Drosophila melanogaster: one gene and its partners. The protein of the gene in region 1 interacts with the protein of each later gene in a pairwise test. Each region holds a gene or a part of one and is shown on either strand. Other genes may lie near its edges.

Region 1 (6,199 bases):
AATCGGTACCTAAAGAAATTAACATAAACTCGATTGTTTTCAGAAAGATATTCGATACTATTAATTTTAAAAGCTTCCTGCTGACTGAAGAACTGGTTGCGAACCACTGTGCTAGAATATGATACAATATTTTGAAAAATCGCATTAAAGGTGCCGCTGGTGACACGATACGTTTGGTAGTATTTGGATTTTGGATAAGGCGGATTAGGCGCGCCTGGCAACGGGTTAATCCAGTTTGATATCTCACTTGTGTACCAATTAGGCATTAACTCACTTTAATGGCCCAATTTGTTAAACGCACACATTTCAGCACCTCAGACGGACTTCATCACACGCGTAGAGCCAAGAAAAGGTTTGACTTATCGAACTGGAAAAGTTAACCATTGAGCAGACCGGAGTAAAACCATAAATTATGCTAAAATTGTATCGAGACTGGTCGGTGTTTTAAATGCATTTAATTAATACAATTTTTTGGGTGCGCCGCCTGAAACTGAATTTGGAACCAGAAACTGGAGTCTGCGGATCTCGAACCTCCAAGCCGACCTATGTGGCTGCGACATTGACATTGCCGCATGGGGTTCGTATTAACTTTTGCTCTTTGCAATGCCCACACGCACAGCAGCGGTCAAGCTGGTAGGACCTTATCTAGAAATAAGGTGCCTAAGAAGGAAAATAATGTGTATCAAGTAATACATTTTAAAGAAAATTTAAGCACCTAAATAAACTTAGTTAACATACAAACATAACATAAAATTAATTATTAAATTAATTATTAAATTAAGCTTTAAAGTATTTGAAAAACTCTTTAATTATGTGAAATGAATGTTTGAAAAGGCCATACATAGTTGTATATATTATATATATATATATACATATACAATTTATATATTATTTATATATTATATTATATATCTTCACCTTAGTTGTTTGAATGTGCATCACATCTTGGTTTGATTGAAAACGAAAAGAGTGGATTTTTGAACTTGTGCGTAGCTCTTTGGCTCTCAAGTCACTCTTAGTGCTCCAGTTTGGCCAATTTCGGCTATTCGATTTTATTGTTATTCAGATGAGTTTCCTGCAGCAGAGCGTAAAAGTTGTTTCGGTGGATCTGGTTTGATGTCGACAATTGGTATAAAAACCTAAACAGTCTGCAGTAAAGTCACCATTCAGAGTCGTCTCTCAGTTTAGACAAACGCACTCCAAGCCAGCAAAGATGTTCCGCTACGTAAGTCAAAAGGATATTTACTTCGACCTAAAACGAGTTGTGTTTAGAATTCTTTAAGATATTTTAAACATCTTAAAATATTTTAAACTCCTATGGACTCAATCCAAAAACGTCTATGATCAATTTGTAACTGACTGGGATCCACCTGCTTTTATAGCTGCTCGTCGCCTCCGCTATCCTGGCCTGCGCCTACGGTGCCGCCACCTACAACCAGGAAGCTGGTGCCTACATCACCAAGATCGGTTCCGACATCCAGCCCGAGGGCAACTACAACTACCAATACGAGACCAGCAACGGCATCGCCGCCCAGGAGTCCGGAATTGGAGGAAACCACGCCAACGGAGGCTTCTCGTGGTACTCGCCCGAGGGTGAGCTCGTCCAGATCTCGTACGTGGCCGACGAGAACGGTTACCAGCCCCAGGGAGCTCTCCTGCCCACTCCTCCTCCAATCCCAGCTGCCATCCTTAGGAGCTTGGAGTACATCCGCACCCATCCCCAATACGTCGAGCAGGAGTACCGCAGGCCCGCCCTCAGGAAGGTCTTTGGTTAAGCGGGAGCGGAAGTCTTATGTGATAACATTTTAAAAGAGCTTTATTACGATTTAAAAAATGTTTTAAAATAAAGAAGAAAAAAATTACATAAATCTATGTTTGTTTAAACTATTTCAAACATTTTGGATGAACTAGAATAATGGGTGCTTAATATATGAAATATGGTTTAAGATCCCACGAGGAAACGTAGCAAACATATTTCAATTGCACCTTTATTATTACCTATATTAATATTTCAATTTTCTCAAATTTTCTTGTTAAAACTATTTTTTTAAGGATATGCTTACTTTACCTTCCTATTTGTTTTATAGTGCGAATATACAGGCAATTCTATGTCAGATTTTAAGAACCAAATTAAATACCACAAACTTTCCATCCGTTGTCGAGCAGAAATTAACTATCAAGTCCTTGAAATTATAGGGGTACTTGCCCTATAAAACGATCTGTAGTACTTATTCCGACCAATACCATCTACTTGACACCACTTATTTAAATAAAATATGTTCCCTTATTGCGACACAGGTTGAACTGTTTATTTTTATGGCCTTTAAAATGAACAAATATATTTTAGATAACTAATCAAAAACAATTGCTTACTTAAAAAATAGAGTTTTACCAGTAGTATCATGGGTTTAGTTTATTAAACTGCCCTTTTAATCTGTTTAATTAATCTGCTCATTTCAAAATGATAACGAGTTGATTATCTCATCTTTAATATTTTGTACCATAATTTGGTGAAATAAATCGTATAATACTTTATAAGGATCGATTGTTGAATTTAATCAATTAAAAAATGTTAATTCTTAATTAAAACTTATTAGATACTATTAAAATATATGTGAATATGACTTTTTTAATATATGCATAATTTGATGTTAAATATAACTATCTTGCCAGATGAATACTTATGCAAAAGTTAAGAGCCAAATTTAAGTGCGTTTTTTGGCTCTTTACCTTTTTAAGCCGCTCCAGTTTGATCAATCTCAGTTTGGCCATTGTCATTCATATGAGTTTCCTGCCGTCTGCCGTAAAAGTTGTTTGGGTGGATCGGGTTTCGTATCGAGAATTCGTATAAAACATTGCTGCCCCGCCACAGAGTCATCATTCAGAGTCGTCTCTTAGTCGCAGACACACGAACTCCTCCAAATCAGCCAATATGTTCCGCTACGTAAGTATATCGCAAGGATAACTATAGCACAGCAGTGGAAAACGACAATTAGTGACACTAAAAATATCAAAATATTAACCAATATAATAAATAGTTTATACTAACGATAAGGATTAACACAAAAAATAAGTAAAATAGAAAACAGTTACCGGACTTAGATACCATGGATAGAATTGGCCTTTCAAGACATTGGAAATTTCATCAAAAACCAAATTGCAATAATAACATTGTCTTCTAGATGCTCGTCGCCTCCGCCGTCCTGGCCTGCGCCTACGGTGCCGCCACCTACAACCAGGAAGCTGGTGCCTACATCACCAAGATCGGCTCCGACATCCAGCCCGAGGGCAACTACAACTACCAGTACGAGACCAGCAACGGCATCGCCGCCCAGGAGTCCGGAATTGGTGGAAACCACGCCAACGGAGGCTTCTCGTGGTACTCGCCAGAGGGTGAGCTCGTCCAGATCTCGTACGTGGCCGACGAGAACGGCTACCAGCCACAGGGAGCTCTCCTGCCCACTCCTCCCCCAATCCCAGCTGCCATCCTTAGGAGCTTGGAGTACATCCGTACCCATCCCCAGTATGTCGAGCAGGAGTACCGCAGGCCCGCCCTCAAGAAGGTCTTTGGTTAATCGAAATCGGGACTAGAATGTGCCAACATACATATGAAAAGCTTTATTACGAATCGTAAAAATGTAAATGTAGAAATGAAATAAACGTCGAAGATGTAAAGAAAACAATCTTAAAAGTCAAATTTGCGTTGCTTAGGTTTACATGGACCAAGATCAGAATTCAAAAAATAACCGTGGGGAATATCAAAAAAATAAATCCCAACTCCTTAGCATCATAAATCCAAGGATATGATTGAAGGACATTTAACGATCATAATCAAGAAAAACCATCATCTATAACAACAATTTAACAATTTCTGTTTCATACCCTTTGTTTAAAACGGGTATTCAAATCGATAAAAATAACTTTTTACTAATGCAATTGTAAGTCAGTGTGAAAACAGCAGAGAAAACGCTATAGTCGAGCAAACAATTTTTAAAAAATAGTGGGCGTAACATTTTTTTGAAGTTTGTGAGCAAAGTCTGGAAACTGCATATTTAATTCGAATTTTGTAGGTTTCATATTTCCGGAGACCTCAAAGTTCAGACAGACGTACGGACACTTGGCAGATCGATCGCAGATCCTTCATCCTGTTACAAACTTTTCATCGAATCTAAAGTACCCACTTACTCTACGATTAACGAGTATAAAACTTGGTATTTGTTGGAGTGATTTATAAGCTGTTATATTATATACATATGAATTGTTTTGGCTTACTTACCACACACACTACATTAACACCATAGTCTGTGCTAATAAAAACTTATATTCAATAGTATACTTTTTGGATAACACCAAAATGCCAAAGGTTTCAAAACTTATTTAAATGCACGCTAAACTATAACTATCTCAAATCGGCAGCAGTCGTTAGACATTTACGATGACACTTGGTGTTTTGTTAGAGTTTCAAGTTCGTCTCAGATCCAAAAGCAAACTGCTCTGCCGGCATTTGCCCGCATTCATATTTCATTTGCATATCATTAACAACAAAAGCCGCTAATCGAGTGACAGAGCGTAGAGTATTTTGGCGCCTCCATATCGGATACTCTAACTATTCAGTAGGCGGTACGTTGACTTGGTAACTGGGTTTGGTGATCACTGAAAGCTCAATACCCATTCACTTATAATCAAAATATTTTTATACATTTTTAGTTTAATTAAATCTTTTAAATTTAAATAAAATTTATTTCTAGTACAGTCAGCTTTTCCTTTTAAAATTAAATGTTACATTAAATGTATAATACATATATATTTTAAATGTTTCTTTTAGAAAATGTATCACTCCCCAAATCATATACATTTGTATTATTATACATTAATTTTACTCAAGAGAAAGAGTGTGTCATATTCGCTGAAATATTTCTGGTAACTCCAAATTCGGCTTACGATTTATTTATTTATTATGAATATAAGTCAAGATTAGATAAGAAAAGAGCCATTGTGTGGCAGCGTCTGTAAATCGAGATCGTTGATCTGTGATTTCTAAGGCGCAGATAAGGAGAGGCCTTTACTCATAAGTTGGCCTGGGTTATAGAGCACCTGGGTCGTAAAACCGTAGTTAAAACAAACAACAGATGACAAAGCAGCTATTAGGCGAACTACTAAGCTCGTAAAAACGCGGTCAAATTCATATTTTCAAATGCGCGAATTAAATTAATAATTCGGAATGGCGAAGAGTCACCTGTTCGGCGATGGTGTAGGTGTAGGTCAGTGATCGTTGCGAGTATAAAACGATCTGTCGCCGAACTTGGAGATCAGTAATCAGCAATCAGTAGCAACTGCAGCAAATCCAACACCAAAATGATCAAGACCGTAAGTCCGATGCGATAATAGCTATAATAGCACATCTAATTGGTGTATCTTTTCCGGCATCAAGGCGCTAATCATTTCCCTGTTCCTGGTGGCCGCCATCCGGGCTGCAGACGAATCTCAGGCCGAGACCACCAAGTACCGCAACGAGATCAAGCCGGATGGCTCATACAGCTGGGAATACGGAACGTCCAACGGCATCGATGCCCAGGAGAGTGGAGTGGGTGGAGTCCAAGCTGCCGGATCCGTGAGCTACGCTGCTCCCGATGGAACACCCATCCAGCTGGAGTACACTGCCGATGAGAACGGATATCGTCCTACTGGTGCTCATCTGCCCACGCCGCCTCCCATTCCTGATTACATCCTCAAGGCTTTGGCCTACATCGAAGCGCATCCATTCCAGAGGATTCAGCTGAAGAAGTAGTCCTTAAAAACAAAAAATAGATTTAATGTAGCAAAATTATTATACAAACAAAATAAACCAAGTTTAAGAGAACCACCTTTTGTTTGATGTTCCTTAAGTTGCAAGTATGTAGAAAACATTTATTTTTAAAAGCAAACCACTCACGCTGTGTTCTGTTTTCTTTTTTATTGGTTGTAAATCATCGTTTAATTGCAACAATTTGTGATATAATTTAGCGTTCCGATAAAAGTTCGTTTGTCGGCTGGCTTTAGTTTGCAACTAAAGTACAATTGATAGATCGATCAAATCATAGATTCAACTGCCAGACTTTGCTTCCATTGAGCTTGAATTAAAATTTCGTTTTGTTGCGCGCTTTTGAAGTGCCAAAAAATCATCGAAAAAATGTCACATCAAATTGTTTAACTCGTATGT
Region 2 (6,268 bases), on another chromosome or scaffold:
CAAGCTCCAGTAAAGGATCCAACCAAAATGCAGATAAGAAATTGGATAGCTCAAAGTTTGAGAATTATTTCAACTTCCAGGGTGATGTTAAAACTATAAAACCTTATCAAATGTTAGCCATCAATCGTGGGGAGAAGCACAAATGGCTTTCTGTCAAGATAGAAACGAACGATTACCTTAAAAGAGATCTGATGCGCTATATAACCGATCAGTACATGAACCAAGGCTTGCAATATCCATTAAGAAGGGAGGTGTTCACAAAATCCTTAGAGGAGTGCTACGCGAAGAAGTGTAAGATATGGAATATATTAAGACCCCCATATGATATGTTAATTAATTACTTATTACAGTGCAGCCCTTGATGTGCAGGCAGATTCGAGCGGCTTTAAAAGAAAAAGGCACAAAGGCAGCCATCGATGTGTTTGCCAAGAACCTGAAGCAACTACTGTTGATATCCCCCTTGAAAGGCGAACGCATTTTGGGCATAGATCCGGGTTTTATAAATGGATGCAAGCTGGCACTTATATCCGAGACTGCTGATGTGCTGTACACTGGTGTTATTTACCCTCATGGTGCCATGTCAAACAAGCGGGCTGCCGAACAGAAATTGGTTCAGCTTCTTTCAGATCATAAGTATATATATATTTTGAATTCGATTTGCAAAGATAGTTATTAATATGTCTTTTTTGCCTTTCCCAAAAGCTGTAAAATTATTGGCCTGGGCAATGGTACTGCCTGTCGCGAAACTGAGCACTGGCTAACTGGTATGTTTCATGCCGGCGTTCTGGACAGCAGGATCATTCGCTACAGCATCGTTAACGAGAATGGAGCATCTATTTACTCCTGCAGCAATGTGGCCGCCAAGGAGTTTCCCAAAATGGATACAAACGAAAGGAGCGCAGGTTTGGACGAAGATCAAATTAAAAGCAACACAAACAAACATATTTTGTATAGTGTCCATAGCGCGTCGTTTGAATGATCCATTGAGTGAATATGTTAAAATAGAGCCCCGTCACCTGGGGGTTGGTATGTACCAGCACGATGTTCCCGAGAAGATTTTGACGGCATCGCTGAATGACGTTGTGTCCGAGTGTGTCAGTTATGTTGGCGTTGATCTCAACACAGCCAGTCTGAGTGTACTCAAGTATGTGTGATTAAGGGTCAAATAAGTTATATATTTTTAATATTCTCCACCATATAGGCACATTGCTGGTCTGTCGGAAAAGAAAGCGGAAAAGATCATTGAGCATCGTACGCAGAAAGGACCATTCAAGACACGGAAGGATCTGCTCTCCGTGCGAAGCATAGGTGAGAAATCGTTTGTCCAGTGCGCCGGTTTTGTGCGCATCGAACCCCGAAGCGTTGGAGGACAACTACAGAATCCATTAGATTGCACTTGGGTGCATCCTGAGAGCTACAACGTTGTGGAAAGGTAAGTCCAATATTCAATTGACTTCATTAACCAATAATAATGAGACTTTATTCCGCCTGATTCATCGCAAGCCTGGCCTTTTCATCCGCTGCCCTCACTAACAAGGAGGTGTCACTAGGTGTCACAATGTCACTTTCGTGTTGCGTGATGCCAGCTATGTTCTTTGGACAATCGTCGTCAAAATTCTTAAGATTTGTAACATCCTCGCTAGATTCCATTTGACACCAGCACGGAAGGTACGGCTTCAAGGGATCCTTCTTGTCGCAACGCTTGCAGGTGCAGTTCTCCATGCCGGCACTCATAAAAGTCCGGAAGTCCGTCTCCTGACTCAAAAGCCCCAGATAGTCCTCTATAGAGTGCTCTTTCATAGGGTCCATCAGCTCCGCCCACGTCTTTAGCTTCACGATCACGCCAAAGAAATACGTGTTTAAGTCCTCGATTATTTGCAGCACCGAATCTAGCTCTTTCAAGAATGTACTTCCTAAAGACCGGTCCAACCTGGCTACGCGTTGATCTAGCTCCTTTTTCGACTCACTCATGTCCAGGTATAAATTGCTCAAATCGGTGCTAAAAAGTTTTAAATTAGCAGTGGCTGTGTATTTTTAATAGACTTACTTTGACTGATTGACGATATTGTAGGCTCTCTGAAACTCGCAAAGGGCCCGCTCTTCGGTCATCCGGCTTATGTACTCGGGATAGGTCTTAGTGCATCCGGTCGAGCTGGCTAAAATGCGATAACGCACTCCATGGTAACGCATCTCCTTAACCCTCTCAATCTGAAATGGTTTGGCCTGCTCCAGCTCATTCTTCAGGGCCTTCATTTTCTGGTCAACTACTAGAGTTTGCTCGTGCACACACTGCTCAAGCTTAAAATCGTAGCGGGAGTAGATATTCTCACAATGCTTGAAGGTTGGCTTCAGCAAATGGATGGGAATGGTCGATCCCCGGCACGGTGGCGGAAGCGGACGACGCTTGTACCGCTCCGGCGGATACTCCCAGCAAACTCCAAAGCGGGTTTGATCCTGCACATTGAGCGGATGCTGCCAGCAGGGCTTGTATTTCGGCTTATCGTTGTGGCCGTAGAATGCTACCTTTCCACATGCAACATATCGAAGCTTGGCTGGCGGCACAATTGGAGGATAATGCCAGCGCTCCGCATATTCCTGCTTTAGCTTGGCAATCATTATAATGGAAAATTTGAAAACTTAACTCTAAAACCAAATACTTTTTGTGCTTTCAGTATTGTCGGAGAATGTGACTTAAAGCTGTCGGATGTGGGCAAGGCTGCCTTTATAGCTAGCATCAAGCAGTTTGCCTCATCCCAGCCTAATCTCGATCGCATTGCCAAGCAGCACAAGCTGCCCATGGAGCGAGTAAGTGCCACTCAATCTATACTAAACAGGCCTATTGCAATGTTCAAATAATTTAAAATAAATTTCCTTTCAGTTGGAGTTCCTGTTGGTTGCCCTGCAGCGCGAATTACTTCAGGATTATCGAGCAGATCTGGACAAGAGGCCACTGTTCAAACAAGGTCTAACTAGGCTGGATGATCTTAGCATGGGCGAGGTGGTCACTGGCAAGTGGAGACTATGATAGTCATTTCATATATGTACTTATTGAAACTATTCCGACACACAGGTGCCGTGACCAACGTAACCCAGTTTGGCGCCTTCGTGGACGTTGGAGTGGAGCGCAATGGCCTCATACACAACAGTAACATGAATAATTCGCAGCTGAGCGTTGGCGATCGCATTGTGGCATCGGTGGTAAAGGTGGATCTGAAGCGACGCCAGTTGGAATTACGTTTGGAAAATATGCTGATGGAGACGGATACCTCGTTTAAGTTCAAGGCGGAGGATTAGACAAACTGCAGGGATTTAATGCTTTCGGAAGTATTTAATGATTCATATCGTAATTGTTTGGTTGCTCACACGAGCATTCATATATACTATATATAGTTCATATATATATTTATATATATGTGTATATGCATAGTATAACGGCTTTCCTAAGTTTAATCAAAGCTTATCAGTTAGTAATAAATGTTCACATAAAAATCACCGTCTCCACGTTCGTCTTCTTGTTTCCCTTCTCGCCACAAGTTGGCAAGTTGTCTTAAATGAATTGTTATCGAAAGGGTATTGCTTTAGAAACTAAGTGATGCCCTCTTAAGCCAGTTAAAATAAATATACAATATGCATACATTTAGGCGCTTGGTTTGCAGCAGGCAAGTTGCTTTCACTTTTAGTTAGTTTGTATTTTCGAATTTATTGCCGTTTCAGTAGAATTGTTAAAAATTATTATAAACAATGTTATATAGTCTGCATTTACATAATTACACAATACCATAATCATAATATATTCAAAAATATATGATGCATTTAATTTTATTTTTTCCTCCATCTCTCTTTACCCCGTAATGGATATTTAATTTCATATTCTAGCTACATGGACATGTCGCGTAATCAACCGATAGTTGTTTAAATAAATATATTAATCCGTACATAATATTGGAGTAACTGTTCCTACACAGTTAAATGTGATAATGTATCGCAAAAGACCAAAAACAAGTTGTACACGGTATGGTAGTAATTGCTTAAGCTTAATGCTAATGCGCTTGTCCTCTTCTCAATTCTCATTTCGTTATTGTTACTGCCGATGTTCTCCATCTTGTGGTTGTGTAGAGATATTGTTCATTAATTAATAATTTATTTTTATCATTTATAATGATAGCATAGGTAATGATGTAAGTATTGTTTATCAACTCTTGTAATAATAAGTCTATGTGTATAAGCAGTTTTCATTCTCGTTCCTAAACAGCCGTCCAGCAGAATCTTTGGCGGAGCAAATATGAACGATAATTCAAATTCGAATCGATCTGACTGTGTAGCTTTAAATCAGGTGAAACCGATCTCGAATACCCTCATTCTGGATAAGTAGCATGGTAAATATAAAATCAACTGCACGAATTCGAGATAATCCTCTGGTTGCCGAGATTATGCCGATGTCTTCTGATGAACGACCTTTAAACGTAAAATTCTCCCTCGTTAATTATCGCATTGGTAGTCTAATTGTCTCAAATGATCTCTTTCTCGCAACCCCTGATGGGGTTTTAACTGACTGAAAGTGCACGAATTCCGAATTTCTGTGGCAGACACGGCACAGCCGCAACGCTTGAGTGTAAGTGGGTGGGTGGTGGCGTGGCGCGAGTGGTGCTGAGTATGCGAGTGGGTGAGTGGTTCAGTGGTTCTGTGTGGATCTGATCTGTTTATGTTCCCGTCGCAGGCAGCTTGGCATTTTGGAGTATTCTATTCAAATTCGTTCAATCGCCTGCTTCACTGGTGGGGAGAGAAAAGATAGTTACACGCATAAGTCGAAGTTGCTGATAGGTTCAATGTGGGCATGGCACTTACCGATAGCCAAGAGGCGGGGATTGTGATGTAGGTGTGTGTTGGTTATGCGAGTTTTGAAATGATCGAAATCAAGAGCGAAATAAAACGTAATTATTTCTTTTTCTTCTCTTTTCTGCAAGTGTAGAACAATAAGCGAGGTTAGCAATCGTGGATTGAAAACAAAAAACGGGTTGTCGGATGGTGGGAATTCGTTTTGGGATCGCACTAAGCCAAGCTAGACACTGAAGAGTTAACAATTAACATTGAGTTTTGGCCTCGGCCTGCTCACATTTAATAAGACAGGTGATCGGGTCGATCAGTACGGGTCAGGGCATTTACAAGGAGCACCTCTTGGAGCGGATCACTAGCCTCTGAGTTGTGGTGCTTCGTGTGCTGTGGCTGATGTGGCTAAATCTTGGCAAGAGACTAAGTTGCTTAATGGCTTTTCGAATGGATCAAGTGCCGCCAGAGTGGGCAACAGCAGCAGAAGACATCGAACCATCTGTAAGATTGAAGAATTCTTCCATTTGGGTTTTGCTTTTCACATTTCACTTGCATTTGGGTGGAACGTAGCATTTGAACGCATTTGAACGGGAAAACGGAATGGCAACGGGCAACGAGTAACGGCAACTGCTTTGGGTTCACCTAGGGCTCGGGGTCACCAAATGTCGTCGGGTTAACATGAGTCATATATGGGTACATCGGTGAAATCATCAGCAACTTGTGTACAGTGTGTGGGTGTGGGATGGCTTAATTGATTCGTCTACTTAAATTTTATATCTATCCGTTGGATGTGTGCTGGTTTGTAAAACTGGTATAATCCTTTTTTCTTTGTGAGTTATTATGTTGTTGCATGTATATTTGGAATGCCGGTAGCTTAGGCTTAAACGTAAACGTTTGCTACTAGTGAACCACATTTGTGTTTTCTACATTTCTTTGTTTAATTTCGTTTCTAAATATATTCTTTGGTTTGTATACATTTAACGCCAAAACTTTGGATACTAGTGCTACAAAAAACTGCTTTCTATAGTTAACCATTTCAATCTTGACTCTAAATCGTATGAAACGGTCGACCGTTTGGTTTTCTAAATTCCTAATTATATCAATTACGAATTGTTCATTGAGTTTTCACAGCATGTTGTGTGGTTGTGGTTGCATCCAAAATAAAACCATTTTCACATAAGAACTAATTACATTAGGGGTCTCCGTCTCCTTTTTTCCTTTTAATTGCCTACGCGCAACACTTAAGTCTGAATTCAGTTATTGTTATACGTATCGTAGTTAAAACTATTCAAAATTAAAGCTTGTATATGTGGGGATGTGGTAATATGATGCCAGCAAAATGCCAAACAAAAAGAACGCACACGAAATATATTTACACATAGAAAGGATTAAGGAATAACAGTGAGCACAGTACAATAATGCCAGCAACACAACAGAACAC
Region 3 (9,248 bases), 8.3 Mb from region 1:
AGTTTCAGTACATGTTCGATATCAAGACGCCCAAGCGCACCTACTACCTGGCTGCTGAGACGGAGGCGGATATGCGCGACTGGGTGAACTGCATCTGCCAGGTGTGTCACCTACACGACACAAAGCAATCGAATGAGTTGCCATTAGGAGCTGTGGGTGCAGGTGAGTGTCCGCAAGCCCATGTCCAAAGAACCCCTTCTTAAGTTTTTCTTTTCTTGCAACACCCAGACGAAAACCGCACCCAACACACGAGCTCCAGTGGCGGTCTAAGCAACTCCACTCAAAATACGACCACCACATCGTTGCACTCGTCGGCCGGAACCACAGCGCCTCAGGCTTCGGTCCCAAATGCTGGAGGATCTGCCCAGCTGCGACGACCGGCGGTCATTGAAGAGCAACCGATGCCCTCGAATGCCGGCAACAATAACTCAGACTCGGTGTATGTCAACACGGAGTACAGCAATCGCGAGACGATGCTCTGCGATGCCAATTTCGATCAGCAGGAACTGCTCTCGGCTGCCCAGCAGCAACCGCCTCCATCGCCGGCCACGGCTCTTTATCTAAACCACAGTGCTTTGATCCAAGCTCAGGCGGCAGCTGCAGCCGCCGAGCAACTGCAGCAGCAGCAGCAACAAGCTGCTCGCTTGGCGGTCAGTGCCAACGGAGTAGTGCGCAAATTGCCGGAGCATCTGGTGCTCACGCAGCAGACCCTGGCGGAGGCAGCTGCCCAGCAACACAGCAGCGTACAGGCTTCACCCGCTTTGAGCACCGCATCCGGACCGTACATACCCATCAGCGAGTGCTTCTCGGGCAGCCCGAGATTCCTGCCCGGCGTTCCACTGCCCGGCGCAGATTTGGCCATACCAAACAACCCCACCACGCCGTTGAACAACTTGGATCCCAAGTTCTACGATACGCCGCGTAGTCATAATAACATAGGTCTAAATCTGACCAACGATCAATCCTACTCACCGAAGATAACCAATTTGAGTCTGGTAAGTTGATAGCGATAACGATGCGCGTCAAGCATTATTTATAATTAATTATCATGTTGGCCTTTCAGCAACAATTGGCCAATAACAATGCTAGTAAACAACGCTCCGACTCCGATTCGGAAAGCGTTTTCACCGATGACGATGAGTGGGCTCATCCTTTGCCACTGCGCGAGAATGTGGGTAAGTACTCAAAAGGCAAATATCAAAGCGAATTCTCGTAGTAAACAAAGATTTCTCACAGATCGCAGTACCCGACCTTCGGATAGTTCCATTGAAAACGAATCATTCGTGCTAACGTACTCGCAGCGATTCTCTAAAATGCCCGAGGAAGGAGGAGCGATCGTGCCACCAGCTGAAAAGAGTTCCAAGCTAGCAGGAGCAGCATCTCTGCCAGAGGCTGGTGACCAGGGAACGCTGGATAAGCTGGCCAAGGTGCTGAAGAACAAAAATAATCTCATATTGGACTTTAAGGAGAATGAAAAGTGAGTTAACACACACTCAATTCAATTTTAAACGGCCTACTAAATCATCCTGCGCATTGACAGAATTCCTCGCGATCTGCCGCAGCTGTCGGATACGGAAAATACTTCGCCGGCCATTGTGGCCCGCCGCAACGCGCACTCCGCTTTCATCGAGGAAAGCTATGACATTCCAAGGTCCCACCAGCAGCCTTACTACAACGTCAACCAGCTGCTGGGCGAGCGACCAGTCACCAGCCCGCACAATTCCAATCCCATTGCAGCATCCACACCGAATCTCATGGCGGCCGATCTGGGTGCAGTGGCCGCAATTTCAGCGGCAGCGAATCCCGGCCTGATGGGTGAGGCACAGGCAGTCGCATCATCGCCCACCAGTGCGCGCACATTGCCTCGACACTGCTACACCAATGCAGCTCCCACAAAGATGGAGGGCAATGTTTTTCGATACGACTTCATGGAGCAGGCGGACTGCCCGCCGGTTAACCGGAAACTTAAGCCAAAGGTGGCGGGTGGATTGCCAGTTGTAGAGGACAAACCGCCGGAGGAGTTTCCTGCAAAGCCCCCGGTGGGCGTAGATCAGTTAACCAATAAACTGGGTGCAGCCCAACTGCAGCAGCCCATTGGACCGCCCAGTGTGGACAGGAAGTGCAAACCGAATGCCTATAAGGTGAGTGACAAACGTTGTGCACACCCATATTCAATTTACTAATGACTTCTTTTTAGTTGGGCAATTCGGCTACCATGTCGCCGGCAACGCGACGTTCCTCCGGTGCCCCTCTCTCAATGGTGCTGCCGCATGAAACGGATGTACACTCCCCGGCGGCAGCCAACGCCTTCTTTCACGAGACCCGCACCCTGCCTCGCCAACAGCATCGGCATCATCCGAACAGTCCCGGCAGCATGTCGGTACAACATCAGCGCACCGCCTCCGCAGCGGCTGCCATGATGAGCTTGACGGCAGCAGCTGCTCCCAAGCAGCAAGCGGCGGCGCAGACTGAGCACAAGCTGCAGTACTTTGATCTGGATGTGACCAACAAACCGCCATTGCTAAATCGATCCAGCATGAGTGTGGGGAATCTGTACTCACAAGGCGGAAATGGAGCTAGTGGAATGCGATTCGCAGGCGTCGAAGCTGGCGGAGCTCGAGCGCCAGTGCCTAGCAGCGTGGTCTATAGATCCGTGGACTTTGTCAAGACGGAGGCATTTAAGAGGATTCGAGAGGAGCGCGAGAGCAGCGGCAACAAGTGAAACTGCTGGTTCAGCTAAATGAAATCATATCTCCAGTACATCTACTTGTCAACGTGCAATAGCAAAGGAAGGACCATGTTGCTGATCCGAGATTTTCGTAGTGCCTATTGGTGGTCAGCTGAGGAGAGCTGACCCCATCCAAAAACAGTGCAAATTTCGAGTGGCTTTTACATTCGTTAACATCGTCAAATTCATTATTCATTAAACCACATATCTAGCTTGTAAGACGGCACCAGCATTTCTGTGTGCTGTTTTGAATCTGTAATCTGTAACCCGTATCTGAATCTATGTCGTATTCGTATTTAAATCGTGCTTCCAACACTTCCATGTTTATTGTTAAGCTTCGGAATCAAAATGTAACCATGACAAACGATCTTAGTGCTAATTTTACAATGCAAACAATTATTTTATATACGCAAGCGAAATATTTATATACACGAATTTTATATGGTAACAAATTATTTACAATTTAATAATGTAACTCGTGTGCGACACAAGCTGTAGCTTGATTTTGTGCTTTAAAAAATATATATACAATAATACCAATTTTGTGTGTTCTCCTAAAAGATCCAGAACAAATATCGAATTCCGATTGCTAGAAAATATCTGAATATTACAATATCACCAGGAAACGATGTTGCCTTCTGTTTATTCTGGAAATCCTATAGCAACCTTTGTTTCGAGTTAAATCAATCCAAGTCAACGCAGAGGTACTTGGCAACGCAGGAGTCTCCACCAAACAGACTGTTATTATTAAACGAATAGTCAGTAAACTAGCACGCTTTCGAGTTCCCTACCTTCATCCTTACATATTTGTATTACAATGTCCCTGGTTTATATCACCCATCACGATGAGAATATTCTCGAGTGCGAGCAGGACTTTGTGAAGGCCCAAGGACCTAAGGAATCAATTTTTGTCTACAAAAATCGTAGGGATTCGTACTAAAAATCGTTACCTCCCACCTAACTTTAAGCAATTTTGCAGCTGTTGTGGAGAGGGCAGCCAAGTATGCCAAGAGACTTCGCGAACGCTTTAACGAGGAGGACAAGAAGCTATCGATTATCCTCCAGAACGATGGAACCCGCGTCCTGACAGAGGCCAAGAAATCAGCCCACCGCACCATGGGCTGTGCTCACACTCCGATTGACCCACCGTGCGCCTATTTGCGCAAGAGCCAGGGCATCAAATGGCGGCGAGAGAACACCCACAAGTGTCCCAAGATGCCGCCAATGCCCCCACTACCACCACCGGGCAGTGGCGGCAAAAAGCCGGCAATGGTACCTAACTTCATCAAACGCAACAAGATATGTGCCGGACAAACGGTTCCCTGTCCCCCGCCACCTCGTTATGTAGACACTCCCGTGGGAGCTCGTCACGATCTACTCAATTCCGGATTGGTACCGCAGTTTATCTGCCGCAAGGATTTCGGCAAGGTGCCTGTTTACCTCAAGAAAACCAAGAGGATGTTGGCCGACATGAATGCGGTGTGTGCCAAGGAACAGGCACGTTTGCTGGAGCTGTGCCGCGGTATCAAGGGTTTCACCAGGGCATCCGTCCAATCAAGTGGTCCGCCGCCAATGCCGGGTATGCGGGTGATGGAGCAGGCCGAGCGAAATGAGATCCTCGAGGGACTGCGACTGAGCCTGACCGAGATGACCAAGCAGTATCAGTCGATGTCGCTCCTTATCGACAGCATCGCCAAGCGGCAGCGCAAAAGCAAGCTGGAGTCCGATCTTCGCCAGGTGGAGCAGGACATTCTGCTAATCGAGACCACTCCCATTATCTATGTTTCCGAGTACTAACAATGACACACACACCTTTTCTGACCATGTGTGTCGGCATCTGGAAGCCGAGTGAGGTGTCTCCATGGATTCACTTGCTTTGCTCTTAGAGGCGGACACACAAAACACTTCGTAATTAAGATTGAGAATAAATTTAACGTTTATGCATTAAACATTTCCGTGGCAAAGCTTCCATGGCAAACGGGACATGTCAGATGTCTCCCCGACTCGTAGAGTTCTTGCAGATTGTCCAGCTCGAATAGGATTTGGCGGTTGCAGAGGCTGCAGTAGCGTCGCTCCAAGCTGAGGGAGATCTGTACGGATACTGTAGTCTTGTCTTAAAATGAATTCTAGTGAATTCTTACCTCCACAAAGGACACACTGCATCGATGAAGTTGCTTCTGGGGATTAGATATCACAGGTATACCTAGCATCTCGTGCAAGTGCTGAATATGGTTGCCCATTTGTTCAACGAATGTCCTTGCTGTGGATCCTAGGGCATGGTTTTCCGTGAAGTCGTCATTGAGTTTATTTATCAGTCTGTGGGCCTCCTCGAACATACATTTTATCGCCTGCTCCTGGAATGGTGATCTCTTACTTAATGACCCAATAAACTGGAGCCTCAGTCTTATGTGTGTGATATTCAGCATCGCAAGGAGCAGCTGCAGTTCATCCCGGGACTTTTGGATGTGAACTGTCAGCTGGAGGTGGCTCGATTGCAGGCGAATCACGTTTTGAAGAACATGAAATTTAATTTGCAGCTGCTGCAGCTGACCTTCAGTGGCGGTATCGGCAAATTCAATGGAATCTAATGGACAAAAGTCCATAAATTTTTGCCAATTCTCCTCGGCAAAAACGTGCAGACGTAGTCCAGCTAATAAATCGGTATAGTGATTCATGGGCTTATTGGATTCCAGATGCCTGACAAGCTGATCAAGTGGATCCTGATTCCCCACCTTGAGCACTTGCATAACCAACTGGTTCTTTTGAGATACAGTTTCATTTAGATATTCCTTGTTGCGGTAGAGTAACAGGGTCATTAAGTTCTTGTGCCTACTGGTGCACAGTCCCATCACCTGGAAATCCTGAAGGACACCCATGGCTATCGATTGCATCTGCAGGCTAAGCTGATTATTCTCGTGGATAATTTGTACGCAAGACAAACAGCTTCCAGCGGTTCCTGCAACGTAGCTACTGTTCTCCAGGCTGCAGAGAGCGGTGATCTTCATTCCGCCGACATAGATCCGAGCTTGCAGGCAGTCTGTGCTCCCCGTTCTTGGCATGCTCCAGGTCAGCAGGTGCGCCGCCTTGCAGCAGGTTATATAATAGCAATCCATTCTGGGACATTCAGTGATCACTGCCATTTGCAGACCCATGCGATCGGCTTTCTCCCACAAGGGCTTCACTAAGGCGAGAGCTGTATTTCCCTTAGCTGGCAATTGGTACAGGTGAATGAGTCCGTTGCTATCGCCCACCAGTAGAAGGTCCTTGAAAGCTTGTATATGGCAGATACGACCCATTGAGGTTTTCGTTTCTTGATGACTTAAAAGAGTTTTGACATCGGCGCTTAGTGTGAGCAACCACAAACTTCCTGCGGCTGTTCCCAGAACCAAAACATGCTGGCCAGTGGCATCTGCATCATCAGGTAACCAAGCAAACATAGTGATCCAGGCGGGATTAATATATTCTTGATAGCTCTTAAAGTCTTTTATCTTGGCGATGTCCACTTCAGGCAGCAGAGTGTCCCTCAGAGTTTCAGCGATATTTAGTCCTTCCACAGGGTTCCAACGATTGTACTCAGCGGACTTGTTTATTAGGCTCAAGGATCCATAAGTGTTGAGGGAGCCCAGGAGGAGATTTCCATTAGCTGCCAGCTTGGGTGCTCGCTTAACAGCTGTTAGTCTGGCTGGTGGCACGGCAACGGAGCACACAGCCGTGTATGCCGGGTCCAGGGCCAAGTGCTGTGCCTCCAGGACATCGCAGCTGTCGTATATGGCAACCAGATCCACTTTGTTGGCCAAAACGTCCAGAGGTCGTGTTTCCGCAGCGTTGGAATCATAAATGGCCACAAAATACGGAAAGGGATCCACGACCATGAACTTGCTGCTCAATTCCAGAGTGATCACTTCCGATTTGGAGCCGCTCAGTGCTATAAAGTCTCCATCGGAATCGCTGTTTACAAAGTCGTGTACCGAGTCCTGGCGGACGAATCCTTTGGCTAGAAGGTGAAAATCCAGATAATCTAGAACGAAATTAAACATTTATTAATTGCAATAACAAACTGCAATTATATTACAAGATATTCCAGTTACACTATTTCATTGAAGAATAGGAATTATTTGTAAGTGCGAACAGAGCGAGCACAACAAACCGCGCGAAATCGGCAATCACTATCTCAGATGTGTGGGTATATCTATTTAGCACGCATACACTCACATTTCCCGACATCTTGAACGCCATGTGAAATTTCTCCCTCAGTAACTTTCGTCATTTCGTCGTGCTCAGTTCAGGAATCCAAATCCACCGGAATGGCGGCCAAGAAACTGGGAATGGTTAGAGCACCATGTAACTTGTTGAGTAGATAACTGAAGTTCTTTCTTTTCAAAGGACTTTGTGAAGCAGATGTCCGAGTACGCCAGCGGGTCCAATGGATTCGACCGCGTCTTGAAAATGGTAAGATTCTAAACAATTTGTGCAGCCGATTTTAAAGCGACGCCGTCGAAGTCTCTCAAAAACAGCTGACTGTCATCAGTGATGGTATTACATAATTCAGCTCGCTGCAATCGATAACCGTGAAGTGCTCACCTCTCTCGTGGGATCTTCAGAGATTCAAAAATGTAAACAAATTTCAATTCGCAGATTAAAATTACAGGCGGTGGAGATGGTCGCGCAATAGGGGAGTTCACTGTGGCCAATGAGCATTTGAATCGCCAAGGAACTTTGCACGGTGGTCTTACGGCAACAATTGTTGATAATTGTACCACATATGCCCTTATGTCGAAAGGTATTTTGAAAGTTTGTTTATTACAATCTATAGAATCTACAATGAAATTTTTTTAAATTTCAAGGATCCCATCCCGGAGTTACGGCCAACCTGAATGTAAGCTACATTGCAGCAGCGAAACCTGGCGAACTTATTGAAATTGATTGTAATACCGTGCGGGCCGGTAAGAAAATGGCCTATTTGGACTGCATTCTGAGGCGTAAGTCCGATGGAAAGATCATCGCCAAGGGCGGACAGGTCAAGTACATTCAGTTCGACAAGGAAAAACTGGATTTTTAAAACAATTTTTGTAGATCGTCAGAAAACGAAATAAAATCTTTCGAACCTCTGCTTAAGACGTACTAGTTTAATTATTTATTATTTCTTAAGTTAGTTATTTCTTAATTTACAAAATAAAGATATTTAAAACTAAAATAGATGAAAGACTATAGAAATCCCAACGGATAATTTTTAAATAGGTAGGACTTTGCATATCGATTTGCCCTTTTAACTTATCGATTGGCGATTCTGCTTATCGCAAAACAGCTGTTGTTTGTTTTGAAATTGTTTTGTTAGGTGTTACGTTAGATTTTCAGATTTTTATGTAAATTTCGGGCAGTACGGGGATAGTTAGGTAGGATCCGTTAACTAAATACTAACTATTTCATAATATCGTGCTATATTATGTTTACCTTATTTTTTGATACTTGCTAATTGTTTACTTTTCATCGAAAAGCGGAAAACTGCACTCGAAGATAATGAAATCAAATATTGAAAAAATCAAAGCAATCCATTTGTTAATATACTACTGTGATTTATTTTTTAATGGATTTAGTCCCATCCAAACTTACACACGTCATACATACAATAAAGTTGGATTGTTCTATTGTAAAACAATTACTATCTGACACTTGAGATATAAGTGCACGTTACGACTACTTATCTATCTACAAAACTAAATCTAGTATATTTCTAATCGTTCCGATCGGACAAACTAATTCATTTTGTAGTTATATAGAAGCTAGCGGATCGTCTGTAAAGCAACATCAATAAATAATATGGGAACTCGCAAGAAGGGACTCGAATTCGCTAAACACATCACCGAGATTATCAACAAGTCAACGGGCTTTGAAAGTCACCTACAGAAGGTTAGATCACCATAGAGTCTCCTTACCAATATCATTATCTCATCCTTATATTCCATTAAAGGTCAAGATCGTAGACGGTGGCGATGGAGCCTGCACTGCTGAGCTAAAGGTGGACCAGGATCATGTGAACTTGTACAAGTTTTTGCACGGCGGTTATATCATGACCCTGGTGGACTTGATAACCACCTACGCCCTAATGTCCAAGCCATGTCATCCCGGAGTTTCGGTAGATCTTAGTGTAAACTTTCTAAACGGCGCCAAACTGGGCGACGATGTGGTGATTCAGGCCAATCTGTCCAAGGTGGGCAAGTACCTTGCCTTCATCGATTGCACCCTGAAGCACAAGAAGGACGACTTGGTGATAGCCAAGGGCACACATCTAAAGTATATCAAATTTGACTAGACTAGATAGTCTCAAATTGGGAGCTACTTCGTTTTGAAAAATATTTTCGAAGCGCCCCAAGTAAGTTTCATAATTTGTACAAATAAATGATTATGGGTTATTAATGTGCTTTATTTTATTACACGTGTAGCAGTACATTGTTAGTTAATTGTCAATTAAACATGCTCATTGCGCAATTGCCGGTGTGTTTCCATTTTGGTTTTGATTAGA
Region 4 (10,503 bases), 1.4 Mb from region 1:
AACACATGCGTCCTATGAAAATAAAAGCAAATGCACATTTATTTACCCGACATCCATATTGTTTATTATGCGATTTGCCACTCTTTGTGAACTGAGTATTGTGATGGTCTTTTATGGGAACGCAAAATTGATTTTTGATTTTTATTGTTTACATAAAATGCTGACGGCAAGTATTACGAGCTGGAAATTCATAAGTACCGTATAAAAAAGTAACTTTTGTCAACGTTTTTTTTAGAACTGATTCAATTTTGAAAGCATTTCCCTGGCTGATTTTCCCATAAAAGTCATTTTGCAATTTGAGGGACATTTTAGGGGACACCAAACTGGCGTTTGGTTTGGTGTTTGCTAAATTTAAAAAGAAATCATCTTTCGATTGCAAATTCAAAATTGAGTGGCTTTGTTTAATACTTAGGTTATTCTTTATAGTCAATTCTTTAAGAATAAATAAGTATTGATATAAAATAACGAAAAAGTATAGTAGTAGAAATCCTGAATGTAGTCATTGCCAAGTTATTTATTTTAGGAATATTGAAATCCATGAAAAAAGTGCCCTCTCAAGTGAAAGAGCATTTGAATAACTTTACCATCCATAGCAGTCACAGTAATTAATTGTGTAATTCACACATTAACGAGCGGAAAAGGATCATTCAGCGGAGGAGCACGTGGTTGAAGGTGGTGCAAGTGGTGCTCTCAATGGCAAAAGGACACTGCAGAAAGGACTTCCAGGACATCGCTTCGTCATTCTCGAGGGCAGTTTTTTCGGAATGCGCAATGCACTTGTTTGGCCTTGTCCGCTTTTGATTAATGATGCGGACACTGAATCTCTTTTTTACGGCCACAGTTAATGCGTGTATCTGCAAACGACTTACACGGATATCCTGCAAGGGAAATGGGGTGCGTGCAGATTCCTCGCCGATGATGATGGTGGTAGTGGTGATAGTGGTGGTGGTGGTGGCAGTTGGCTCAACGGTGGTTGAGTCCCGGCTCTTTGTTTGCCCACTTTTTCAGCGACCCCTACCACAAACATCCCCTTCGAGGACCGTAAGGATATCCTTGGCCGTATCGGTGTCGCGATTGGGGTTTAATCTGGTTAGCGGCCCTGACGACGATGACGACATCCGGGGAGGAGGCACAAAAACCGGATACCCGGCGAGACGGTGACGTTTAAGCACAATTGCTGTGGCTAATGTGACACATATTGTGACAAATTGCACAAACTTGTACGGAACTTGGCGGAGTGACGGGGTCCTTGTTCCTTCCGCGACGGGGTTGGATTCATCCGGAGTTGTGTAAACACGTGTTGCAGTTCCTCGTAAATCAATTAGCCACCGATTGTCCAAGTGTTTTCCATTCGAGTTCCTAAATTCGGAATCGGCCTAGTCTCGGAAGGATAACAATTATGCAAAAGCTTGCTATTCAGTGTTTGATTGCTATGAGGTGTTCGTCTGAACACAATTGGATCGATTTACAAAACAAATCAACTTGAATTTCATAATTATTTATAGTTTAGCTTTTTCAAGGATTTTATATAAATATTTTAGTAGGATAATGAAATGAATTTTCTCCTCTGCTTTCAAAAACCATATTATATTTAATATAATATAATATTGTTTTTCGGCAAAAAAGTTGTTTGTTAAAAAGCATTTTTTATAGTTTGGTTTTCTATGCCTTTGAAAGCTTAAGGATTTACCACCCAATTTGTCTTAGATTTTGGGTTTGGGACATTCCGATGCAGTTCTTCCGCTCAAGCAAAACGAAAGGCCAGGATGCTAGTTAAAAGTGCTGTCCTTGGGCGGCATTTGCAGCACATTCATGTCGACGCTATCAAACGGCTCGTCATCGTGGGGAGGATACGGTTCCGGATCCCTTCGTATCCGAGCCTTTGAACTACGCATGACGAATCGGCATTTTACGCCCATTCCGAGCCGAAAGGACGAATTCAGCAGGGTTGCGACTGCTGTGGCAAATGCTTTGTGCCTGTCAACCGAGCGGAACTAATTTCGAGACTGCACCTGCAGAGCCACCAACATGGGATGCACCAACCACCAACCCGGCCGGTGGGTGGATTGCGCAAGTGGTCCAGCTTCCAAGGGGGGTGGAAGGGCAGTAAATCCACTTATCCGGGTTCGGGGTGTTTAAGTTCGATTGCTAGCACATTAACATTCTTTTATTTTACAAGGTCTAATTTTGATTTGGGCTTAAAATTCGACGGCCTTCGCCGGGCGGACTAGTGATCCATGGAGTCCTTGACGCCGCATTCGCCGTAGGATTGCAGCTCCTCCGGCCGGAAGTAGGAGCTTTGCATACTATATAGTCGGTCGATCGGATTGATCATAGGCGTCTGGGCAAAGGGACCCATTAGTTGCTGAAAGGTGGCGTAGCTCAGACCTAGAATGGTGTTCAATATGGGCTCGCTGTTCTTGTTGCAGTTCTCTGTAAATTGTATTTTATATTCCTTGATACGTAAATATCCTTAAAGGGCATAACCCACCTTTATTGGTCTCCATACAGTTGAAGGGCACTTGCTCCTGTTCGTCCTTAATGGTGCATCGCATCCGGGTCAGTCCATCGGAGGTCGTCGAGTACGGCGATTCCAGCTGTGATTCGCTGTCGCTGTGCGCCTCGTCCTTGATTTTGGTGGCCAGACTGCTGTCCAGCGATTCCTGCGAGTCCTGCGAGTCACTAGCTCCTTTGCTGGGCGGCTCCTGCTTGGCCTTCTTCTGAATCTTTTTGACCTTGGCTCGCTGGTTCTGGAACCAAACCTACAAAATACGATATTGGTTTAATAGAATATGTAATGATTAAATTCCATTTAAACCTCTTTACGCACCTGCACAATTCTCAGGCTTAATCCAGTATCCTTGGCCAGATTCTCTCTCACTTTTCGACACGGTTTCGGTGAGACTTCGAAGGAGGCCTTAAAAGCTCGTCTTTGCTGCGTGTTTAGAATGGTTCTCGGTCGCTTGGGTCCTCTTCGTCCGTCTAATTTGGGCGGGAAAAGCTCATCGCCATAGAAATCTACATAGTTATATGGTTATCATTGGGAACCGATTTCGAATAGGGCCATTACCCACCGTATCCCTGTAGCATCTCCACCTCCTTCTCGTAGTCGAAGCGGCAGAAGAGCTGCCCCTGTTTGACCACATACTGCTCCCCCTTCTTCAGCAGAGCTCCACACACCACACAGGCGAAGCACTTTAGATGGAAGACGTTCTCGTGGCATCGCATCACCAGCTCATCGGCGGCGATTTTAAGGCCACAGCCAAGGCAATGATTGCGGATGTAGAGTCTGTGGAGCGAAAATATAAATATATATCATATCATTCAAATATTAAGCTGTACCATTTAATAAACACTACCATTTTAAAGTAAGTGCAACTCACACGGAGTTGATTGTTTTAAGCGCCCCCCGTTTGGCAGGGTTCAGTAATCAGGACTCACCTCTCGTAGTCGACGCGGCAGTAGAGTTTGCCCTCCCTCGCATAACAGGAGTGGACCAGGTGCAGCGAGCAGGCGGTGCACTTGAGGCAGCCCTCGTGGAAGGAGTTCTCCACCACGCGCATGATGTAGCGATCGCAAATGGGCTGGCAGCAGTGGGCGCACTGGCTCAGCTGCGGCGATGCCATGGCCAGGCCCAGTTCCATGCCCATGCCGGAATTGGAGGCCATTCCCAGAGGCGCTTGCGGTGTGTTGGATGCCGATGGAGGTGCTGCCGGCGTTGCAAAGCCGTCCATTCCATTGAGGCTGCACTCGCCCAAAGTGATGCGGTTGCAGTGTGTATGGTTGGGTGGTCCTGGACCATGTCCTGTTCCTGTTCCCATTCCGGTTCCTGTGCCCGGTCCCATGCCCATCGGTTGCTTGTTTATGGCCATGTTGCTGCTGCTGTTGGTGCTGCTACTGCTGCTGCTGTTGCTGCTGTTGTGGTTACTGCAACTTCCGTTGACAGTTCTGCTGACTGACGCCATTTTGTCATTGTGGGCTACTCCGGCTTTGGTACTCGCACTCCTTCCGGCTGCCACCACCACCGATGTTGCTGCTGTCGTTGGTGTTGTTAACATGCGTTCATTTCCGTTCAACAGCAGCAGTTGATTGAGGCCCCCAGTTTGCGGCAGTTGGCCAGCACCCAGTTGCTGCTGTTGACATTTTATGTCCATCGGAACTATTTTGGTTTTGCGGTCGTGTCGTTGGTCCAGATCAGCCCACCGCCCCAAAGGAACATGCAAATGAGAAACATTTCAGTTATTTTTATTTTCAATGTGGCCAAGAGCGCCCTCAATTTACAACTATGGTTCGGTCATCAGGCATAAAAAGGGTTCCCGTTTTTGCGGGCAGGACCAATGTCCATCTGCCTCGCACTGTGACCATAACCGTTTCGAGTTGTAGTAAATTTGTGGTTTTGCAATTATTGAAATGACTTTTCCACCAACGGAAAGAGTGTGAGTAAATGTGCGAGTGTGAGTGCGACTGCACTCGAAATTCCCCGAAATGCCATGCGAAATGTGGCATGTAAAAAATACGACCAACGTGGCGTATGCGTAACCGATGCGTATGTGCGATTGTTTGGCTTGGTGGCAAAAAATTACTGTACATTTGCGGTGCTGACTGGTTGGCTTTTTGTGCCTTGTTGTCTCAATTTATGGCAAATTGTTGAAATTTCAACGTAATTTGTTTCGAGCTTCCAGCTTTTGTGCTCCTCTGTGTGTGTGTGACGTTCATTTTGTTTGGTTTTTCCCTTGTTTTCACTGGTGTGCGTTTCACATGCGTGTGTGTTTGTCATTCCGCATTTGAGTGATTTAAATGTGTGCGTAATTTCATTAAATGTTTTGCAAAAATAATATCTGGTATGCCAATTTATGCCAGAAATATGCCCAGAATGTTAAAGTATTCCAGCCATCGTTTACATTAACAATTTTTGCTACACCTCTTGCACTGATTGACGTGAATTGCTCTAGACCAGCTTGCACTCAGTTTGTTCTGCCAAATGACAAATAAATGCGAAAATAGTCGATTGCAGCTCTCAGTACATTTAATTGGACTGCATTTAATTGCCATTTGGATATAGAAAAACTATGCAGAAAAATAGCTGGGAAAATGGGAATCAAATAGTGTTTTGTCAACCAATTAAGCGATTTGTAAAATAGTCAGCAAATATTTTTGTGACTTCAGTACTCTAAATGAAATTCAATATAGTTTTTGGTTGATTTATACAAAACCACCGCAATATAAAACCTGCAGAAACAATTTAGCTTTGCTCTATCTAAAAACATTTAGAAATTAAGCTGAAAACTTGTTCTTTGAATTATTTTGTAACTTTTGGCATTAGCATTATATATATTTTTTTAAAGCATTTTTTGAGTTTTCACCTTTATATACAATTCTTTTTATATATTTAATAATGAATTAAACTTCATTTATGTGTAACAAAATATTGCTGACATGTGTGCTATGTTCGTTGGGTGTATTTTGGCTTTATAAACTTTTCAATATGCTACTTATTCATAGCAACTGAAGTCTCCAGCAGTGTTTAACCCAATTTCCAAGGTCCTGATCTCCCCATTCCCGATACCCATTAACTTGTGACACTTGGAACTGCGGGAAGCTATTTCCTAAGATGTGCAGCGGAATAATCCGCTCAACAACCACACCTGTTACACTTTTAGTGCTCTGTCATTGCCATTTGACATTTGAAAATATACCAACATGTTTGCCGGACATGTCGGAGAATAGAGCTCGAGGATTTTGGGACGACAAGTGTAAAGCCGACATTGATAGCACTTCCACTTGCCCACGCTCTAATTAGATTCTAATGTGCAGTGGAAATCGAGGGACGGGTTGCAAATGCCACCCCTTGCAGTGCTCATAACTATGTAGATTATAAACGAATTTCAATGAATCCGGGGGCTAACCGAGGGCATTTAGCTGGCGGATTTCCACCCTTACGGAAAATATGCTCGGGCTTAGCAAATAAGCATGAGGATGAGGCTGGAGGGGATCAGGATTTCGGTTACGGCGGCTGGCGGCTGGCTGCTGGCGGCATATGTTGGCAGTCGACGACAGTGAGTGGGTAAGCGGAAACCCTTGGAAATGCTTGCCAGGATGTCGGCTGCGCTGCCAGGATGCTGTGTGCTGCCTCCGAATCCGCTGTCAGTTGCCAGCAGTTCGCTCGGCAGCAACTGACAGCGCTTTATTTAATCGGATTTGAGTAGACAATAGAGTTATGGTGCCATTGCCGTTTTGTTGTGCCAGCAATCGCAGCGCAAATGCTTTGTTTTGTCCTAATCTCTGACAGAAGTCAAAATTTGCTTTGCTCTGGAAAATATGTTGTAATTTTCATTGGCTTTCAGCCAGTCGGATTCGAGTGGACGTGTGTGCAGTCGGTCATATGCATACTTGCCACTCTGGGTGCTAAATAGCATTCACTGAAGGCAAATTGAAGCAAAAGTGTTGAGATGCAATGTTTAAACTTGGGATTTGCTTTGTGCGAAGTAGAATTTAGCAAGAAAATGGCAAATTTTCACAAATAATTCATCTTTGGTTTCTAATAATTTCATGTGCAAAACTTATTTATGCTGCTATTAAGTTAGTATTTTTAAAACCAATTCAACTGAATAAAATTTGTATAAAATGTGCTGATCTCTTTGACTGTTATAAATCAAAATCACTAATGGCCAAAACGAAAATCCACTTTATACCTTTGAAAAGTGTGCAATTGTGATATCACAATTACCGATATAACACATGATACATGGTGGCTTATTCCTAATTCACTTATCTAAAGGTATTTGATTTGAGCTAATCACTTGATGCTAATATTTAAACTATGATTAAACTAGAGAAAAAGTGAATGAAATATATGCACTCTTCTACTTGAAGCTATTTACATACCATAAATTAATGAGCACTTTTTAACATAATTAATAAACTGATAGAAAAATGCCGACGGGATTGGGAATGTTGGGCTTGTAATGCCGTCGGTTATTGGAATAGATTCAGACTTCATATTCCTCGGGTTTGCCCATACTTACACATTCCGATCTGCATGGGATGGTGTTCGTCGATCATTTTGGAATCGTTCAGTTCGGGAATAGAAAAACTATATAATCACGTTCACAGACATTTATGAAATTTTCTCAGGGCTTTTCACGCGATTTTCCTACGTATCTTTGCACATTTTGTGAGCACAGCTTTCAGGACGCCTAAGGACACATTTGGGGACTCGAAATGCAGTTGGCAACTGTTGTTTTGGGGCGGCCAGTATCGGACTTCTGACCTGGCCCTGTTACGAAACGCGATGCTTGAATGATTACGGACCTCTGATGTTAATGAAATTTGTTAAAAATCATTTGCTCTTCTTTGGCCAAATGCACAAGCATCTGCTGCCGAGATAGGAAATTCTCTCCAACCCGAAGGAGAAGTGCCCACTGTTTGCCTTTGTGTGTGTGTGCGTGTGCGCCATTTTATGGCACATCCTGTGCTCCCATATCCTTTTTGGCTCCATCCCCGTGCAAGCCATTGAGAGCCAGCCATTTGCCTTTCCCCAGCTTCCGTGAGATTCGCCAGCTTTTGGCGCATGCGTCGATCGGAACCCCCATATCATACCATCTCATCTCATCTCATGCGTTTTAATGCCGATTTTGAATCCGGGTGGCGCTTCTGAGTTGTTTTGGCTTTTTGTGTTTTGCTGGTTTTGTTGTTGTTGTTGTTGTTTGATTTTTCATTTTGCACTTTTGACTTTTGTCTTTGTCTTTGCTCGTGGGCACATTTATTTGTTTTGTTGTACGTACGTATTTTGTATTGACAAAAGGATGTTTGGCTCGGCGATTTCTTGCTTGCTTTGTCGCCTCAGCAACAACATCCCCGCCCCCCCAAAAAAAAACAGGACTCTCCCTCAATGGCTGGAATTTTGTTGTCCTTCTTTTCTTATTTTTATTTTTACCGTGTGTGTGTGTGTTTGTGAGCTGGCTAGGATTTTATTCCCTTTTCCCGCAGTGGCTTGTACATTTTAAATTTATTGATTTTCGAACGCTATAAAAAGGACTAAGCTTAAAGACCAGTCCCGCTGCTTTAATTAAGGTTTGCGGCCCAGTGTCCAGGAGAATTTTGCTCAAAGAGCTAGCTGTTAATGAGGGTGGCCGGTGGCCCTTTAAACCTGGCCAAAATGAATTTTCTGGTCTATTAAACCGGGGCGCCAAAAACTTTAATGTCTAAGCACTTTGCCGGCTGACTGTATGTCTAGCTTCCAGTTCAGAGTTCCCAGTACCCAGTTGCCGAGATGAGGACTTGTCTGGTCGAAACTCCTGGCTCTTGGCCTCTTTTCCGACGAAAATTCCCAGAAAAGTTTCGTAAACGCGAACGTGTTACTCACAATTAGTGTGCGGGCGAACCATTTAACTGGCAACCAACCAGCCATCTTTCGCTTTCCCAGCCCACTTTTCCCAACTCCGACGATGATAATAGTTATGTGCGGTAATCTTTGCGATTCATAATCAGTACACGGAGCACGGGGATGTGCAGGGAATTTAAAGGACAATGGAGCTACATTAAATGCTTGATCCTGGGGGATTTTGCGATGGGTACTTCTTTTGTTGTGCTTCTTTTATATCAGGTAGGAAACATGTAATTTCTTAATAAAGGAGTGACAATAAATGTTGGCATTTGTTTAACTAAGTGCCAAAAACAATTGCTAAGTAATGCAAGATTTAAAAATACATTTTTATAAAAAATTGTAAGATCATTTAAACTGTATTGTGTAATTCATAATAATTTATTTTGTAATTATTAATAATTGTTATTTTGTTTAATTTGTTCATTTACTAACTGTTAACCTTATATATTTTTAGTTGGCACCTTAAACGATATCTATGTGTATTATGTTAAATCTTATAAATAATATTTATTGAACAATATTCTAAGAAATCTATATTTGTAGCTGATGATGATGAGTAATTGTTGCAGTTCTGTTGTGATGTTGTGATTTTGAAATTTTCATATACATTTCTCTCTCCTCCCTTCAGCTTCATCTCGCAAAGGCTTCCAAACTTTTGGCACTTTGTCTACGCAGAGCCTAGACATGGAAACTCAAGGGCGGCGGTTTTGGAGGCACCACCGCCTCCATCCCTGCATCCATCCATCTATTCCTCCATCCATCCCGAAATCCCGATGTCATCGCCTGTGAGGGGCCTTTAGATCGCATACCACTCGACACTTGCAGTTGGGCCCTGCTAATGACAAAGATTAATTTGGGTCACTGTGTTTCCGACGGCATTCCGATATTGGGGCCATTTGCGAGGGATCCGGTTGAATTGACTGAACAATGGGGGTCAGAGGGCACAAACTACACATACATATGCATGTATGTATGGATATTATGCGCGTGCCTTTTGTATGAGTGAGTAGTGTGCAGCCAAAGTGCATATGTGTGTGTGGGTGTGTGTGTAGGGAATTTGGCGGCGTGCAGCGGAAACTGAAATTGTTCGGGGTTAATTAAACACGACATGTGTGGCATTGCGTGCATTTGTCGGCGGGGTGGGGCGATCCCGACCCGCAAGTGTGAACTGCAAAATGGGGGTCAGGCGCTAATCAATGCGCCATAATAGACAAATGACCCAACGGCCTGGCTTTGAGTTCATTATGTTCGAATTGCCGCCGTGCCGATGCGTTTATGAAGTCCCAATTCCACTGGCACTCGCTATTTTGGTGACCAGATAGCGTCATCAGTTCATCAATAATGGGCAGCAGATCCATAATTAGCACGCCAATGGGGGGACATTTTTCTTCCAGTGCTTGTCTATTTTTATATACAAGGGATTATAAAAGAACAATCCGTTAAATATAATACTCAAATAATATTCAGATATGTCTTAATGCCTAACATCGGGTGCAATTCATATTAGAGTTATACATTTCATTACTTACATTTCAGTAATTTACTTCAAATTGAATTTACTAAATGGTAACATTTAAATAAATAACCATATTTAAACTACCCAAAACTAAACATTTACTTACAACTCTGCAAACACGACATTACAGATATTAAACCTCATGGATGCAGAAATTATATTTATTCAGATTAAATAAATAGCGATTTAATTCAGGGAATAAAAGTATAATTTATTTGACCATTTGACAGCAAAAAGCTTACACACAATTGACATAAACAAATTGTGAATATTTTCCGGTAAACTGTGCGCCACTAATGGCGTGATAAATTTCTGCGCCTCGGCTTTTCCGCTTTTCCCCGGCTGCATTTGTATGCAGGAAGAGCCTGGCCATAAATGTCCTCACATGGTGAAGGCACCACCCGCAGCTCCGGATCTGACCTGTTGAGCCAATCGGACCGACAGGGCCAAAAGGAACAAAAAAATAAGTGCACAAATATGTATTTATTTATATGGCCCAAGGAGGCGGCTCGGCAAACGCAGAATGAATAAAATATTTGGCATTACAAATTGTTGCGATTTTTTGTTTGGGGCCGAAAGGGATGCGGATTGCGGATGCTGT

The links.
Region 2: the proteins of Cpr67Fa2 (region 1) and CG13843 interact in a two-hybrid assay, tested with the Drosophila melanogaster proteins (one large-scale study listed by BioGRID).
Region 3: the proteins of Cpr67Fa2 (region 1) and CG12182 interact in a two-hybrid assay, tested with the Drosophila melanogaster proteins (one large-scale study listed by BioGRID).
Region 4: the proteins of Cpr67Fa2 (region 1) and CG4328 interact in a two-hybrid assay, tested with the Drosophila melanogaster proteins (one large-scale study listed by BioGRID).

What each region holds. Positions count from the first base shown.
Region 1 is NT_037436.4:10,888,836-10,895,034, forward strand, and holds Cpr67Fa2 (cuticular protein 67Fa2), read left to right. Parts: upstream 1-2,878; 5' UTR 2,879-2,932; coding exon 2,933-2,944; intron 2,945-3,182; coding exon 3,183-3,575; 3' UTR 3,576-3,681; downstream 3,682-6,199. Other genes in the region: Cpr67Fa1 (cuticular protein 67Fa1), read left to right, coding at 1,214-1,225, 1,383-1,775; Cpr67Fb (cuticular protein 67Fb), read left to right, coding at 5,356-5,367, 5,432-5,788.
Region 2 is NT_033777.3:22,605,886-22,612,153, reverse strand, and holds CG13843 (uncharacterized protein), read right to left. Parts: upstream 2,670-6,268; 5' UTR 2,617-2,669; coding exon 2,048-2,616; intron 2,000-2,047; coding exon 1,480-1,999; 3' UTR 1,439-1,479; downstream 1-1,438. Other genes in the region: CG31156 (uncharacterized protein), read left to right, coding at 1-291, 351-633, 703-902, 955-1,144, 1,202-1,432, 2,673-2,805, 2,879-3,008, 3,071-3,294; Efa6 (exchange factor for Arf 6), read right to left, coding at 4,936-4,957.
Region 3 is NT_037436.4:2,592,325-2,601,572, forward strand, and holds CG12182 (uncharacterized protein), read right to left. Parts: upstream 7,256-9,248; 5' UTR 7,178-7,255; coding exon of another isoform or gene 7,112-7,177; 5' UTR 7,057-7,111; coding exon of another isoform or gene 7,033-7,056; 5' UTR 6,996-7,032; coding exon 6,941-6,995; exon of another isoform or gene 6,801-6,940; intron 6,747-6,800; coding exon 4,870-6,746; intron 4,819-4,869; coding exon 4,666-4,818; 3' UTR 4,526-4,665; coding exon of another isoform or gene 3,708-4,525; 3' UTR 3,652-3,707; coding exon of another isoform or gene 3,546-3,651; 3' UTR 3,518-3,545; downstream 1-3,517. Other genes in the region: dos (daughter of sevenless), read left to right, coding at 1-162, 229-995, 1,064-1,175, 1,237-1,477, 1,541-2,141, 2,198-2,722; CG16984 (uncharacterized protein), read left to right, coding at 3,546-3,651, 3,708-4,525; CG16985 (uncharacterized protein), read left to right, coding at 7,033-7,056, 7,112-7,177, 7,364-7,508, 7,573-7,787; CG16986 (uncharacterized protein), read left to right, coding at 8,546-8,635, 8,697-9,038.
Region 4 is NT_037436.4:12,288,809-12,299,311, forward strand, and holds CG4328 (uncharacterized protein), read right to left. Parts: upstream 7,316-10,503; 5' UTR 7,063-7,315; coding exon 7,026-7,062; intron 4,160-7,025; coding exon 3,442-4,159; intron 3,290-3,441; coding exon 3,075-3,289; intron 3,019-3,074; coding exon 2,831-3,018; intron 2,763-2,830; coding exon 2,492-2,762; intron 2,434-2,491; coding exon 2,228-2,433; 3' UTR 2,148-2,227; downstream 1-2,147.